Linked DNA regions of Notamacropus eugenii. The protein of the gene in region 1 binds, or shares a complex with, the protein of each later gene. Links are inferred from orthologs where the notes say so. Each region holds a gene or a part of one and is shown on either strand. Other genes may lie near its edges.

Evidence for each region.
Region 2: the proteins of ACTL7A (region 1) and TES are in contact, whole or in part, in a crystal structure (PDB 2XQN), measured with the Homo sapiens proteins. The link is inferred for Notamacropus eugenii from reciprocal best matches to the Homo sapiens genes ACTL7A and TES. Residues at the interface, in NP_006678.1 of Homo sapiens: Leu28, Gln29, Thr30, Ala31, Ser32, Leu33, Arg34, Asp35, Gly36, Pro37, Ala38, Lys39, Arg40, Ala41, Val42, Trp43, Val44, Arg45, His46; in NP_056456.1 of Homo sapiens: Asn311, Glu312, Tyr313, Thr314, Gln315, Ala316, Glu317, Leu323, Phe326, Leu335, Ala336, Gly337, Glu338, Ile339, Tyr340, Val341, Tyr353, Pro370, Glu371, Val372, Gln373, Arg374, Val375, Thr376, Tyr377, Ala384, Phe389, Leu398, Ile399, Gly400.

The regions. Positions count from the first base shown.
Region 1 is NC_092872.1:63,656,815-63,665,627, forward strand, and holds the start of ACTL7A (actin-like protein 7A), read right to left. Parts: upstream 3,293-8,813; 5' UTR 3,071-3,292; intron 2,265-3,070; 5' UTR 2,123-2,264; intron 1,657-2,122; 5' UTR 1,590-1,656; intron 1-1,589. Other genes in the region: ACTL7B (actin-like protein 7B), read left to right, coding at 3,451-4,707. UniProt on the Homo sapiens protein: Essential for normal spermatogenesis and male fertility. Required for normal sperm head morphology, acroplaxome formation, acrosome attachment, and acrosome granule stability.
Region 2 is NC_092874.1:136,989,514-136,998,229, forward strand, and holds the start of TES (testin), read right to left. Parts: upstream 3,341-8,716; 5' UTR 3,267-3,340; coding exon 3,234-3,266; intron 1-3,233. UniProt on the Homo sapiens protein: Scaffold protein that may play a role in cell adhesion, cell spreading and in the reorganization of the actin cytoskeleton. Plays a role in the regulation of cell proliferation. May act as a tumor suppressor. Inhibits tumor cell growth.

The DNA.
Region 1 (8,813 bases):
ATTTTATAAAGGATGACTTTATTCCCCTTTGCTTATGGTGATCACATCAACTGGCCATGGATAGAGGCTATAGAACCAAATCCCACCCTTCTTCCCCACTACACTTGTATTGTGTATATATTCTGTATATGCTTATCTATGGTGGGGAGGGTATAAATGGCTATTCCCAGCACTTTGGGGCTTTAGATCCTGCATTGTCTCCACTGGGGTCCGAGAGAGACTGAGAGAGAGACAGTGTGTGTGTGTGTGTGTGTGTGTGTGTGTGTGTGTGTGTGTGTGTGTCTGTCTGTCTGTCTGCCTTTTCCCAGGTTTAGGAAAGTAAGAATAGAAGCATAGAAGTGAGAAAAAATAATCTAACTTGGCTAAAACACACAGTACATGATGGGAAGTTATATTAGGGAAGGCTAGAAGGGTAGCTTGGAGCCAGATTAAGGAAGAACTTGAATGCTCAGTCATTATTCAGGAGGCAAGGGACAGCCATTGTTGGGTTTGAAATCAGCCTCTTGCTTGGACCTGGTAGGCTATCAGGAACTCAGCCTGCCTTCCCCTACACTAGCTGATCTCTCCCCATTTGCCTAGATATAATCAATCAACAAAACATTTAAGTGCATACTGCTATGTGCTATACCAGTACTGCCCTAGGTTAAAAAGAAAAAAAATGAAACCATCTCCTCTCCCCTCAAGGACCTTACATTTTAAATACATGGTAATTTTTTTTTTAGGGGAAGGCAAGATAGTGCCAGCAGAGCAGGGAAAGCCTGCATGCAGATTTGGCTTGAGGTCATCCTGGAAGAAAACTAGGAGACTGAAGGTTAAAACCTGTCACACCCACCAGACCAACAGCTCCAGCCTGCCTGGTAGATATGCATGGCCCAATAGATTTGTGCCACAGTAAGGGGTTATTAAATACTTTTTCATTCATTCATTATCTCCCCTGATAGAATGTCAGGTCTATGACACGTTTGTCTTTGTAACCTCAGGGCTAGCACAGTGCCTGGCACCGTGCAACATCCTTTGCTAGTTCATCATCCATTTGGTCACCAAGCTTTGATTAAGCACTTACTATGTGCCAGATAGTGTGCTAAGTGCTTGGGTATACAGAGAAAACATAGCCCCTGTCCTCAAGGAACTAACATTCCAGTGTGAGAGACATGTTAAAAACGAGGTTCATAGAAGGTGTCTGTCTACACATAGTAGACAGAAGGTAAGCACTGAAAGCTCGGGGGACCAGGAAAGTCCCTTAACCTCCTAGACCTTTCCCGGGCATGATGGATAGAGTGCCAGGCCTGAAGTCAGAGTTCAAAAATCGGCCCCAGAAACTAGCCGTATCATCCCTAGCCAAGTCACTTAGTCTTTGTTTGCCTCAGTTTTCTCATCTATAAAATGGAGATAACATCTACCTCCCAGGGTTGTGAGGGTCAAAGGAGATAAGTAAGCATTATCTAAATGTTAGCTGTTATTATCCTATGCTTTCATTCTGGGCGATTTAATCAGCCACCCCTTCAGTTGTCACCTCTAAACAGATTATTATATATCAATTATATATATATATTAATATATATATTAAGATCTACGAATCCAGCTCTTACCTCTCTCCTGAGCACCAGGCTTGCATCAACAACTGCCAATTGATTATTTTGAACTCTGCATACACATCTGAAACAGAACTCGTTATTTCTCCTTTCAAACCCATCTCTCTTTAAACTTCCCTATTACTGTAGAGAACAGCGCCATCCTTCCAGACACCAATTTTAGCCACTTTGGTGGCATCCTCCGACTTAGTCACTCTAACTCTACATGTGCAACCAAACAACTGCCCAATCTTGCTGTTTCTATCTCATGTGTGCCCTTCACTCCACTCACATAGCCTAGATTACCCCAGTTCAGGTTCTTAACCCCTCTGTCCTGAAGTACTGAAATAACTTCCTAATTGGTTTCCCTGCTTCAAGCATCTCCCTACGTTTCACTCATCTCTGACTCCTGTACAAAGTTTGCACTTTCCTATCTCCCTGCCTTTAGGTTCACATCATCTCCTGCAAATGAAATATTCTTCTCTAACTCTGTCTTCAAGACTTGTTAAAATAATACCATTTATCCTTTAAGAATTGTCTCAAATGCTTACCTACTTACTCCATGAAGCCTTCTCTGGTTCCTAGTTGAAAATGATCTTCCCTTACCCAGGTGTCATATAGTTTGCACCCTTCTTATGCATGTCCTGTTCCATGATAGACTTGTGTGTGCGTTATCTCCTTCTAGATTAAAAACTATTTGAGGGAAGGGATCATGTAGCCAAATGAACCTTCATGAACAGTTATTGAACTACTCTGCTTATTCTGGTTTTTAGTTGCTACCATAGAGCCAAATTACTTTTAACCATAATAATAATGCTATTTTTAAATTTACTTTTTATCTTGAATTTATGAACACCGAAAGGGGGAGAGAGAAAACATTTCCATATAGTAGAACAGAAAAAATTAGGATTATGATAATGGTAATATTAATAAAAGCTTTCATTTGTGTACTGTTGTACATTTCACAAAGAACATTTACCTACAGCATCTCATTTGATTCTCAAAACCACAATATGAGGCAGGCAGGCAGGACAGTTAATTACTATCAATCCCTCTTAGAGATAATTCTCCTGAACCTCAGTTTTTTCAAATAAAAGTCTAAGGTCACACAATTAACAATTGGAGATAGATCTCAGATGAAGTCTTTTGATTCCAAGTCGAACTCACTTTCCATTACTCTACTTTGCCTCTTAAAGTACAGTAAAGGAGTGAATACTGGATTTATTTCATTAGTATAGGCTACTCCTACCAATATAGGTCAATATCTTCTTTGCAATTTCTAGTCTTGGAGAACCACTTAAGAGTACTGGAAGTTATTTGCCCTGGGTCACGTAGCCAATACCTATTTGAAGGCACTTGATTCTAGCACTTCCTGGCTCTAAGACTGGCTCTTTATTCCCTATGCCACTACAACTATCTTTACTAAATTAGATTTTATTTCTTAGAACAACATTTCTCAAGTTGTCTCCCCTGACTTGACTTGCTAACATTTTTTATACCTTCTCAAAGAAATTAATCAGGGGAATTTTGGTTCTATCTGATTCTTTGAACACAAGTGTTAATAACACTGTTAGAGGACTCAACCCTTCTTAGCAAAGGAGTAAAATGGAGAGACATGGAGAGGTTCTCTGAATAAATGGTGTTTGGAGTTTTAAAAAACTAGTTATGCATTTCCCACTGAATCAGAACTTTTAAGTGAAGAGTTCACATGTCCTCAATACATCATATAGACCACTGGAGGGGAAAACTCTCTGAAGTATGAATGCTTGTTACATCACAATTACAGTGATCGCCATGACGGCCATCAGAGCGTAAGCCTTACTTATTTCTCACCACAGATCTCAAGTATGTGGATGTGAAAACTGAGTCAGGGAAGCAAATGGCAACGAGGAACACCCCCAGCCCTAGGCCCATGCCTGTAGGAACTGCCCAAGGTGATCCTGGCGAAGCCAGTATGTTAATGAGCCTAGATGGGAAATCCATGGATAATGGGACACCAGCACAGATGAAGATGAAACCAAAGAAAACAAGAAAGGTCAAAGCACTAATTATCGACCTTGGCTCCCAGTATTGTAAATGTGGCTATGCAGGAGAACCAAGGCCCACCTATTTCATCTCATCAACAGTTGGTAAGCACTTCCTGGAGACTGCCAACTCGGGAGACAACCGGAAAGAAACCTATGTGGGACATGAACTTTTGAACACAGAAGTACCTCTCAAGTTGGTCAACCCTCTCAAACATGGTATAGTGGTGGACTGGGACTGTGTCCAGGATATCTGGGAGTATATCTTTCATTCAGCCATGAAGATCCTCCCTGAGGAACATGCTATTCTTGTTTCAGACCCTCCACTAAGTCCCAGCAGTAACCGGGAGAAGTATGCAGAACTGATGTTTGAGACTTTTAGCATCCCAGCTATGCATGTTGCTTCTCAGTCCCTGCTGTCCATCTATTCCTATGGCAAGACCTCAGGACTAGTAGTAGAGAGTGGTCATGGTGTCTCCCATGTTGTGCCCATTTCAGAGGGGGACATCATGCCAGGCTTGATAGGCCATGTGGACTATGCCGGCTGCGACCTAACCAATTACCTTATGAAGCTACTGAATGAATCCGGGCACAAATTCAGTGATGAACACCTACATATCATGGAGCACATTAAGAAAAAGTGTTGTTATGCGGCATCCAATCTGGACGAAGAGTTCAGTTTGCCCCTCGAAGACCTACGGGTGGACTATGAGCTCCCAGATGGGAAATTGATCACTATTGGCAAGGAAAGGTTCTTGTGCTCTGAAATGCTCTTCAAGCCTTCCCTAGCTGGTTTTAGCCAGCAGGGCCTGCCCTCCGTGACCGCCGCCTGTCTCAACAAATGTGAAGCCTCCTTTAAGGAGGAGATGATGGCCAATATACTCTTATGTGGGGGCTGCACTATGCTGGATGGCTTCCCAGACCGCTTCCAGAGGGAGCTGAGCCAACTCTTTCCCAATGACAGTCCCCTCGTGGCAGCAGCACCAGAGAGGAAGACTTCTGTATGGACTGGAGGCTCCATCCTAGCCTCCCTCCAAGCCTTCCAGCAGCTCTGGGTCAGCAAAGAGGAATATGAAGAGCGAGGAAATGCTGCTATCTACAGCAAATGCTAAGCTCCAATGAGGCCCAGATGCCCCAAGCAACAATGCCATGACAATGTTAACACATTACACATTTACCGACTTTCACATAAAGCTTTACCCTGAATTGCGTTGGTGGTGCTTTTGTCAGATTAGTTGGTAAGATGGCGGCATTGTGATAGTTTGTGGCAAATTGAGACCAGTAAGCCATAAGAGCTTATACTTCTTTGGTACTTTGAAGTCTACAAAGTGCTTTCCCAAGAACTTTTTGAGGGAACTAGGTAGTAAGAGGGAAAAGGGGGGGCTCAGGTGTTGTTGGTGTTAATAGAGTAATGATTTTTTTAATTTTTTATATAGTTTTTTAATTTTTACAAAATGTTATTTTCACAATAAAGAGGGGACGCTGGTAGTAGTGATCATAGCAACCATTTCTATAGCCCTTTAAATCTATATAACATGCTTTCTTCACAACTTGGGAGGGGTGGGAATAATCATTTATTTAGTATTTTAATTTTTACAAAATACTTTCTTTCCTCACAGTAACATCATGTAATGGATAGTGTACTAGCCTTGGCTTCTAGAAGACTAGGTTTCAAATCCTGTTTCAGATACTAATTCTGTGTGACCTTAAGCAAGTCATTTAACGTCTGTCAGACTCAGTTCCTCATCTGTAAAATGAGAGGGTTGCACAAGATAGCCTCTAAGGTCCCTCTGGCTCTAAATCTACGATCAAGTATTTTGGTTTAGATTCATGATTTTCATCAGTATGAGGAACTCCCTATTTGGCAACTCTCTCCACTGATAAAGATTGGTCACTCATCTGTAGACCATGGTTTTAGAGAAAGGTCTGGAGCATTGAGGTTATGTAATTTGCTCATGGCCAGAGATTCCAGGCCAGGTCAGCAGTGCCATTTCTGTAAGACAAGTGGTGTAAGAAGGCATCCTGAGGGGCCTTTGGAGCATGCCCAGAGTGACTAACATGGAACTGCTCTGCATCTCCTACTAGAGGTGAATGGATATAGCCTCCTCTGATTGGATGCATAACCCAAAAGGCTACATTTTTGATGCTGGCAAGACTAAAATGGCCGTTCTTTCTGACTCACTCTCTGTTCTGCACTCCCTGCTGCTGAATCCAGAGGGTGAAGATCACATTGTTCAACCACAGCTTTGATGTCATGACTTAAATGAAGCTGTGAGAGTAGAAAAATTTCTTCACCGGTACAACCTCTTTTTTAAGCTGACTCTGAGAGAAATGGGCTTGGTGGTGTTGGAGTTTGTACTAGTGTTAGGTGTTGGAGGTGATTCCCACCATTTCAACCCATGATGCCTTTCAGGGCAGGACTCCTGCAGAAGCTTGCAGCCAGGCTGTCCAACAGGAGACTAGAGAGGGCAGAGAACCTGGAATTTGAACCTGATGGGGGTTTTGGACTTGGAACTAGAGATTGGGTGTTTGTTCTGTAGATAAGTGAGTTAACTAATCCACTTCCACCCTCCAGAGTATGAGGTTGTGCTATAATGGTGGAGGTGGATTATGTTCCACATTTTGGGAGAGTATGTCTATCTATTTGTTATTATGCCTTTGAAGGAAACATTCCTTTGCAAAAGCTACTTTGTTAGAGATTAAATGGAACTGCGCAAGAGGGGGTACCTTTGGTGAGGGGTCAGAACTGATTGCAGAGAGCCTAGAAAAACCCCTTCACTTCTCCTTAAGAAGGGTACTTGAGAACCCTAGGGGAAGGACAAAATATAACCTACCTAACCTTCAGGTAGTGAGGGCCCGAGTAATAAATGTTACAGCAGAATAAACATTATTATTTCTATCTGAGGTAACTGAGACCTACAGAGGTGAAATTACTTGCCCAGGTCACACAGGTTATCAATCCAAGGCCTGGAATCCAAGGCATCCAACTCCCAGGAAACCAGAACTTTTTCTAATGTAGTTTTTATAATCTCTTTGGCTATATGGCTTCATGCTTATGAGGGAAGTATAGAATGTTTGGATTAGGATGTAACATGTCTGAACCTTGAAAGCATGGTCTATTGCTGTTAGAGCCTTTGAGTTATTAAAGAGAAGTAAGCTTATTATGCAATAAAGACTCTGAGCTTGTTAGGTGACTAGACTTATGATAACAAAAACAGTTTTAGAAGTGTTTCCTGACAGAAAAGGCAACTATTTTTCGTCTGAGTCCTTTGGTGTTAATTTGCATTGACACAGGCCAAAGTGGAAAGGATTTGTCCGATATTTTGGAACTCAGAACCTCAGGCTTCTGATCATCAGTTCCATGCTCTGCTTGACAGGGAAAAGCTCTTGGACCCATCCTGCTGAGCTGAGGGATGGGCTCCTGATTGGAATCTAGGCACAGAGAAGGGCAAAGAGTGATGAGAAGAAGTCAGGGGGAAGAAATAAGCCTTAGGTCCCCTAGATGGGGTCAGAAGCATAGATTCTCTGAGGGGAGTGGGGGCATGACATCAGGAAACAGACCTTAAGGTAAAATCAAGAACAGAAGAGAATGAAATCAGGTTGCTGAACCAAAATCTGAAATTCCTCCAGCTTTTGGTGCAGGTTCAAAAGAGCTACCTATCCCTTCTTCTCTCCTCTCATATCATTGAGACATCTTTACCAATAATCACCTTCACTCCAGATGAAGACATAGCCTTTTCCTTAACAAGGTCAATTTATCTACATGCTCCTTTAACCCTATCCCCTCCTTAACTTTGCTAGCAAATTACCTCTACTATCCTTTCAACTCCATCTTATCATCCTTCTCCATATCTACTGGTTTCTTCAAAGCTTTACAGTCTGACTTAAGATTTCATCAATCAACTGAAATTACTCTTTCCAAAGACACCAATAATCTCTTAATTGCCAAGTATAATAATAATAGCCTTTCCTCAATTCTTATCCTTCTTGACTTACCATTGGTATTTTTATACTGTAGATCAGACTGTAATCCTGGCTACTTACTGTCTGACCTCTCTCAATTTTTTTGCTTGATTTTATCCAAGTCATGCCCAACTAAGCATGGGTATCCCCCCAAAGCTAGGCCTTCTCTTTTCCCTCTATACAATCTCACTTGGTTATCTCATCAGCCTCCATGGGTCTTCTTATCTCTATGCAAACAATTATCAGATATGTGGGTGCAGCCTTAGTCTCTCCTGAATTTACAATTTTGCATCACCAACTGCCTTTTTTAATGTCTCAAACTGGATGTCCCATAGGCATCTTAAACAGAACATGTTCAAAACAGAATTCATCATCTTTTCCCTCTTCCTTACATCAAGGAAAACTTCCCTGACTTTCCTATCAAGGGCACCGCCACCCTCCCATTTACCCGTCCTCACAACCTCTTATGTCACCCTGTACTCCTTACTCTCATTCACTTACTCCACATATCAAGTCTAATTTCAAATCTTAAAACATCTCTTGTATACTTCTCCATTCTCTCCACTCATTCAGGATCTCATCACATCACCTCTCTCCTGAACTATGGCAATCGTCCTCCAACCTTATCTTTCCCTACTCCAATCTATCCTTCACTCAGCTGCCAAAGTAGTTTTTCTAATGTGAAGGCATGATGGTGTTCCCCTCACCCCATTCATTGGGCTCTTGTAGTTTACTGTTCCCAACAGCATCAAATATAAACTCTGTTTGGCATTTAAAGCACCCCACAAGCTGACGCCTTCTTACCTCCCCATTATTTTTATTATTTTTCCCACCACCATGAACAATATAATCCAGCTACATTGAGGGACCTAGAAGGACACTCCATCTCCCATCCCCATGCCCTTTTTACTGGCTGTTACCTATGGCAGGAATGTTCTCCCTACCTACCTTTGCCTTTCAATTTCCATAGTTCCCTTCAAGATTCAACTTAAATCCTACCTTCTACAGGAGATCCTAGCAACTAATGCCTTTCCCTCCCATTTTGTACATACCTAGTTATTTACATGTTGCGTCTTCCTCCTGTCCCCCTGGATCCTCGACTTGTGGACATGGATAAGGCTTTTTTTTTTTTTTTTTTTGCCATCCTTAGTATCCCCAGCACTTCTTAGCATTGGCACCTAGAAAGTGCTTAATAGAAGTTTGTTGCCTGACTGGACTTGTTCCTATAATCTTTCCAAATCCCACTCCTAGCAGA
Region 2 (8,716 bases), on another chromosome or scaffold:
CTAGAAGGAAATCCTCTGACCTTGAATTATGAAGGGCCTTTTGCAAGGAAAAGCCATTTCAGTCTGACCCTCAAATCTGATTGCCTGGGGCTTATACCAGGCACCTAAATCCAATTGTGACATGGGTGAAACCGAATAACCCATCTAACACCTCCCTTTCCCTTTCTCCTTCTGGATTTGGCTTGGTCATTCACCCGTTGTTAAGAGAACCCTTCCTCTTGGAAGAGGACAGTATCACTGATTTCTTAAGAATAGGTATTAATACCTACTGTGTATATGACTTCATTATAAATTTATTTTAAGTCATCTTCGCAGAATGGTAAATATCCTAAAAGACTTTTTCATCACCTTTTTACCCTCCTAAAAGTAAAGCAAGAGTAATGAGAAACTTCACTCTTGCAGTCAAAATATCTGACCAACCTCAGCAGCTATCAAACATGAATCAAAATGTAAAACCATCTCATTTTTCCCTAAACAGAAGCCTGAGTTCACCCTTGCCTCAAGACAAAGGACCAAAGGATAGAAACAGGAACTGAACCTGTGATTTCATGGGTCTAAGTAATTCCCAGAAAAGCAAACTCCCTCTACCAACCAGACAAGACTTCACCATCTTGCTTAGTCTGAGAGAAGTGCCAGTAAACGCAGAGGCTAGGTGACTTGCCCAGGAATAACCGGCCAGTTTGTTCGCATCTTCCTGGCTGTCTACTATGCCACAATGACTCTCCAACAACTAAAGATAAATATTAGGGTACTCTTCCCCTTGGGTTCCAACTTCCTGTCTTTTTTATTATTTTATTGGTATCTTGCATTTGACTTTATGTTCCAGCCAATGTTCCCTTTAAACTGTGTGCAAGCATAACCTCAAATGTCTCCAAGGACAATATCTCCAAGGACAGCTTTTATTTATAATAGTCAAAATGACTTAGTTGCTCAAATAAATACACATATTAAAAATAAAGTTTATACAAAGAAAGAAAAAAGTGATAGAATAGTCAAGGTAAGTGAGGCCAAATTTTCTTATAATTAGATTTTTATGTAAAGACACTCTACATAGAAGAATATCAGGCATGTCAGGTAAGTAAAATTTGTTTTTAACTGCCCCTTGTTTTCTATTTTGGCCCTTTCTCAATTAGCAGGATTCTTTCCAGACCAATTAAAATGAATTTAGTGATGTATAGTGTTAAAAAAAATGGAAGACACAATTTCAACTGAGCTGTGGCTAACAGGTCAGTAGAAGTAAAAGGAAAATACTACAAAAGGACGATGCCCTCAGCAGTCACCTCCAAACTATTTGATCCCACGCCTCTATTAGTAAAACGTTTTTGAGCATGACTCCTGAAATGCAGACATATTGTCATTACTTATATAAATACATATATATTATACCAATTTATATATTACAAACGAAACTAAATCTAAAAAGATGAAAGATATTTTAAAATAAATTTCACTTTATTAGTGGCACAAATAACATTTTAGTTAGAACAATATGGGTGAATAATGCTTCATTTTTTAAAAATCTTTGTTACTTTGTGATAGGTTCAGTTCTAATACTTGGTTGTAATGGCTGTCACAGATGAAATGGGAAGGATTTACAAACTATGTGGCGGTGTTCAGTCGTTTTTTAGTTGTGTCCAATCTTTGTGACCTCATTTGCCAGTATTTTTGACAAAGATACTGGAGTGGTTTGCCATTTTCTACTCTAGCTCATTTTATAAATGAAGAACTAATGCAAACAGGGTTAAGTGACTTGCCTAGGGTCACTCTACTCGTAAATGACTGAGGTCAAATTCCATGTCCAGCAGTCTATCCACTCTGTACCTCGCTGCACATTTGACACACTGTAATTCCACAAATCACCAGTCTTAAAGAGAACAGGATAATTGATAGGTGAAAAATGTATTGTTTTACTCTCCATTACTAACTCAACTCAAAAAAAAAAGTATCACTTATTAGAAATGTCTTTTCCTTCAAGAAATCTTCAGGTTTTTCCTCTGGTGTTAGTCTTCCTTCTCCAATCCCCTATCCCAATTTGTTTGAAACATTTTTTATATTTACTTATTTTTGTATGTGTGACTTCCCCCTCAGTAAAATGTAAGCTATCCAAAGGCAGGCCCTATTCTGCTGTCATATCTAATGGAAATATCTTTGTTTACCTCCTTCTCTATCATGAACAACTTTTGCCTATATTCATATGTTAGGAAACAAAAGCCTGTGAACACCAAGGGATAATCAGTGTCTACCCTTCTTTGAAAGGGCAGTAACTGTGAAACATCCTACCAAATGGGCTCAAAAGAGCAAAAGCCCACCATTAGTTAAGACATAGACTCATCTAGCAGCTTAGCTGTACTTGGAAGGTGACTTGGTAGGATTAATGATATGTAGAAACTAAATTCTATGACGCTAAAATTCTATGTAAAACCTAGTCTGAGACTACTCTCTCCAGCCCCACCCCAAGTTTCATCTAGTAGTGTCTGTACTTCTGTTTTTGCCCTATCTGTGAAGTAAATATCTCCTTGTAAAAGTTGATACTAAAAGGAATTAGAGTGTTAATTAATGGCGGCAAACTGAGAAAAACACCCTGGAATGGGGGAATCAAGCTGAAAGCATTACAGAAAAGACACCCCTCCTTCTCCCCCACTTCCAACCCTTCAGGGCTACCCATAGACGACCCCTGAAAGAAAAAAAAGAGATGGTAACCAGACTTGTTGTGGGAGATGAAGGCCAAAGTTCTGCTACAACATAAAAACTGAATCTATGGGAGCTGATGAGAAAGTAGTCCAGAGGGAGAGAAGAGAGACCCAGGGCAAAGTCTCACAACACACCCAAGATTGCTAGAGGATGAAGTCTGAACTTCCTGCCTTTCAGTCTACCCATGTTAATTACTACTGCATGTCAATTTCCTGCCTCCTAAACAGTTTAGCCCCTTTAGTTCTCAATGGCAGCAGAAAACAGAAGAATTTTGCCAGGATTTACTCTCTGTCATGAAAACAGAGCTCATCTTTTTAAGCAGGTAGAGTTAGTTAGAGTGGACCGAAAGGAGGAGAGTAAATGGAGGAAGGAAAGGGGAAGATGAGCCCTTAGGGACTATCTTGAGAGCAGAATTAGGTAAAGCAAAGATGACACATCATGAACTTTCCTTATTCCTATTTCTTCCCCCAAATGATATATCCCTTAGCACTTTCCTGAAACAAATCAACATTGGCTCTGTATTTCAGAATTAAAGGACTTACTGTGCCTCCCTCATATAAACAGAATAGACCCATCTCCTTCTTCCCCAACTGCTGTCCTAGGGAATTGAGGTATTCAGAATGAAAAATGAGGGGAGACACCAACTGGGATATAGCTCAACAAATTATGACATATGCATAGGTACCATTGTGCTGTAATAAATGACAAAGGAGATGATTTCACAGAAACCTGGGCAGGCTAATATGAACTGATGCAGAGTAAAGGGAGGAAAATCAGGACATTTTAAACAGTAACTAGAGAACTGCAAAAAATAACAACTTTGAAAAACTTAAGAACTATAATCAATTCAGTGAGTACCAATGATTCCAGATAAATGTTAAAGAACGCTACCACCTCGTGCCAGCTAAGGGATAGAGTCGGGGTGCAGAATGTGTCATTTTTAGAGCATGAGAATTTGATTTAGTTGACTATGTATGACGTTGCTATAGCTTTCCTATAAGAGCTTTGCTTTTCTTTTTCTTGGAAGGGAAAAAATAAATGTTTCTTAAGTGGAAAAAATTCTAATTAAAAAAAGGGAGAACTGCAGGGATGAGTCAAGATAGTCTTCTCTCCTGCTTTTTAAGGGGTTGAGGAAACAGGAGTAATTTATATTAACCCCACTGCCCAGGTATGCAGGGCATCTGACAAGCACAAAGCTTACTACTTGAATAACCCAAACCTGTCCCAGCTTCTGAGCATGCTCCATCTCACTGCAAATTACTAAGGAACTGCCATGATACTCAATTTCTCCCAGTTTTCATAACCATTGGTGATGTGGGGAGGGTTTACATGATATATGACCACCCAGCCCAGGGACCTAGAGACACAGTCAGTGTTTATTATCCAATACCAGGTTATCCAACAATATAGATATTCAATGTTAGAGCTAGGAATCAGACTTGTAATTTCATTGATACGAGGAATTCTAAATTGATAAAACTCCTTCTAACACTGTAGGTCAATATCTTCTGTGTAATGCATAGTATTAGAGAACTGCCTAAAACACTACGAGGTTAAGTGATTCTTCCAGGAATATTTGCTAATATGTGTCAGAACCACAACTTGTCTCAGGTCTTTCTGGCTCTGAAACCAGCTCTCTCATTTACTATGCCCCCTGCCTTATTAAATATTTGAAAAGTTTAATTTTTCTTATTTTATATAAAAATAAAATATAAATAGAAGAATTGAAAATATTTTAGAATAAATATAAACAGAATAAAACAGAATAGAAACAGAATATTTTCTTCCCACACACCCTAAGGACCACCTTCTGTGTCCCATTTTGACCACCGCTGCCCTGGAGCACAAGGAATTCCACTGAGAAAACATGGTTGAGGTATGATAATGAAGAAAACAAGCCTCTTGCCTTAAAGAAAGCATGGTTTGGGAGAAAACAATGAAAACAAATATTGACCTGAAATACTTTATTTGGCACTGAAAATATAATTTCCCATCCCATTTTTTCATACTTGCTCTGTTAGTAATTCAGTAAGAAAGAGAAATCAGACCTGCCTTCAGGGCCCTTTCCACATGAGTTTGTTTTTCTCCTACCTACAAGTGCACTTCCAGTTAATAGGCAAAGAGATGTGGTACAAACGAAGGATCATATCAAGGACACAGTGACACTGATGGCGACAGGAAGTGATAGCATCAGTGTATGGGCAAAAACTGTAAATTACTTTTACCTCTGTCTTCTCTCCCTTAGGAAGCCAATACTGTTAGTTCCCCCTAACCTATCAGATCAAAGACTGAAGCTAGATAAGTTTTTTTTTTTTTTTACTCATTAATGAATGAATAAAGTACACAGCATTGTACCTGATAGAAATAAAAACCCCCAAAAACTGCTTTGGACATAAGAAAATCTATCTGGAGATCACTAGCTTTCCTAAGTCACAATTCTATAGTCCAGTTAACCTGAGCAAACTCTATTTTTCCAGCTCATTTCCTCCTCATCCATTCTCTCTTTATCCATTCCATGTTCTCAAATGCCTCAGCATCCAGAGTACTTTCTCCACATGCTTCCTAACCCTTCCTCCATGCTACTATCTGTGACCAAAATCTGACCTCCTAGGTCAAATTATCTTGCTTCTGTAATATGATGTCAATTCAATTCAATAAACATTTCTTAAGGGCATACTCTGTGTTAGATACTGGGATGTGAAAATGAAAATGAAATATTCCCTGCCCTTAGGGAGCTGATAGTCTTCTAGTGAGAATACTGCTTATACACAGGTAAATACAAAGTAATTTGGGGGAGAAGAGCTCAAAATTCCAAAAAGGCTTCATTTAGAAGGTGGTATTTAAGCTGAGCATCAAAAGAAACTAGGGATTTTATGAGATAGACAAGAGAAAGGAGAGAATTCTAGACACATGGCAGAAAGGAAGAGACAAAGGCATGGAGATGGGCAATGAAACATGTATAGAGAAAAGAAAGTAGGCCAGTTTGATTAAAATGTAGAGTGCATGAGAGTGATTAATGTAAAATAAGTGTGGGAAAAGAGGCTGAAGATAAAGTGTGGAAGGGTTTAAATGTCCCCTCAAAAAAGGTTTTCTTTCCCCCCGGCAGCACTGAAGTTCAACGAACAGGGGCATGATATGATTGGGTTTGTGCTTTAGGAATATCAATATGACAGCTGTGTGAAGGGTAGTTTGGAGAGAGGAGAAATCAGCAGCAGGGAGTACAATTAGGAGGGTACTGGAACAGCTCATATGCCAAATGACGAGAGCGTGAACTGCAGCAGTGTCCATGGGGGCAGAAGCCATAGTGTGGTAAGGGACTCAATAAGAATTGGCTAGTGATTACATATGGTGAAGGAGGCGATGTCAGGGAAAATGAGTTGAGAATGATTTCCAAGGTTACTTACTTGGGTGACTGAAAGAATGGTGCTATGCTTGACAACAAAACATACCAAAGAGCGAGTTTATGTTAGTTTCTTTTTTAAAAAAGATATTGAGTTTGAGATGCCTATTCAGCAACCAAATGGAAATGTCTAGCAAGTACAGGACTGGAGCTCTGGAGAGACAGTTATATAGGAGTCATATGTGTAATGGTAATTTAACATTAGGAGCTGTGGAGATTAACCACAAAAAAGAACAGAGTGGAGAAAAGGCTTCCGGGACAGAGTCCACACATTACCTAAAATTTCATGTTTCAAAGGTCCTTTTATTTCAACATCCTGGACAGCTGGGGTCTTTTAGACTGAATAACAGGAACCAAGGACCAGTTGAAAAGTCTGGTTCATGGGTTCCTTGGGTATTATGGGGAAGAGAAAAGCATAGAATAAAAGGAAAAAATAGGAACCTTCAAAGAATCTCAGGTTCTGAGCTAAAGCTCTTTGGGAGTTAGAGCGAGGGTCTGTATTGTAATGAACCTGAGTGGTAATGTATATATATGATTATATAACTGCAAGTATATGTATATATATACATATACATACACACATATGCCTATAAATATGAATGTATATATACATATATTAGATTACCTTGTTTTATTTGCCCTTTTTGGGGGTGGGGAGTAGAGCTGAAGGAAATTGAACCTGTGATTTTTTCATTGCAACAAGTTCTTCCCAGAGAGGAAAACCCAGGATCAATGCTAATCACCACCACTCTACAATTTATAGTCTTAGAAGCTTGCCTGGGGACACGGTGAGGCTAAGGGACTGGTCTACTGTATGTGTCTTGAAGCTAAGCCTTTCTGGCTAGCAGCATTCTGTCTTCTATGTCATGCTTCCTCCCTTTATTTCCTTACAACACTAAATACTGTTCACATTCTCACACTGTGCAGTTTTTTGCTCATGTAAGATCTAATCCGAGATAAGAAAAAAATTTAATTTGTTTCAGGATCAAACATAATCATTGATTTAGTGGAATTTCTAAAACTTTCAAAAAATTAGAAGTTAACTACAAAACACAGATTGCCCACTATGGCATGCAGTTGGACAGGCCACCAATGAGTACAGTTCTTGGCTAGAGGTGCAATGACTTCAAATTGAAGTCATTCAATGACTCAGAATTAAAATAGGAAAATATAAGAATGAGTCATCATTTCAAAACCCAAAAGAATGTTCAATGATGACAAATTATTCCATGCTACCATAAAAGACCATCTAACACTAATATATTACTGGTAATAATTTATGGCATAAAATCATGAGCTTTCATCTGAGAAAGATCACACTCCATGTTTTAAAATCTGTAGCTTCTTACTATACTCAGTTCAAATGCCACCAGGTCCTAGTTAGGTCGTTCCTTGTCTTCCAACCCAACTGTGATTGGTTCCCTCACAACATTGCCTCATATGTACTTCCCCTAGGGGCAGCTAGGTGGTGCAGTGGATAGAGTGCTGGACCTTGAGTCTAGAACACTTGTCTCCCTGAGTTCAAATCCAGCTTCAGATACTTCCTAGCTGTGTGATCCTGGGCAAGGCATTTAATTCCGTTTGCCTCAGTTTCCTCATCTGTAAAATGAGCTGGAGAAAAAAAATGCAAAACACTTCAGTATATTTGACAAGAAAATCCCAAGTGGGATCATGAAGAGTTGGACACAACAAAACTGGCATCTGTTATAGAATGTATATGTCTTTAGGACACATTATTTTCAGTTACGTTTTTTGCACTCCCAACACCTAGCACAGTATCTGGCACATTGTAAGAGCTTAATAAATGCTTGCTGATTGAACTGTAGGTCATTAAAAGATGCATGATACAAATAAAGAGGCTATAAATTAGCATTGATATTAAATACTATAAAAGACATTTATGAACATGAATGACCAAAATCCAAAATGGTACGATCATGTAGTAAGAGACGGGTAGCCCACGTATTACACTAGACTTCACAAAATATTGAAAGAAGCAGAGGAAGATATCCAGTCCATTTGGTGTGTCCTCTCTGAAGAACCTACAGAGACACCCAGATAAGAATCAAGCTAGATAAGAGACTTGTCACTAGGTCAAAATCTGCAGAATTACTGATACAATGAAGATGTGGAGTAGAAGCTTCTCTGCTTACAAATCTAAGACACAAGCCAGTTCCTTTTAAAGGTTTTAAAGGAATCATGAATTTATTTGGAGGGAAATCAAATCCCCCACAAAGAAGGAGCTTTTAAAAAATATACTCGCTATTGTCATTCCAAACCACGTAGCTCTACTGCCAGAATCCTAATATTACATTTAAAAACATTGTCATACTTAAGAGGGCAAAACAATAATGCAATATAATGTCTTTAGACAGAAAACTTCCAAGTAAGCAGATAGACTGGCAACATTTCATATGACCCAGGAAAAGGGGGAGGGGGGCGTCTTGTGAGTGCCTTTAAAGAACAAAAAGGCGGCTAGGAAACATCTGGTATTTCAAATATGCCCTGGGCTGATTTATAGACAACTTGGGTCTGGAAGATATTATAAAGAATTTAGGGTGAGATCATAATCTGTTTCATGCTGCTTTCATAACTGACTCTCTTTCCAAAGCAAAGGTTCATACA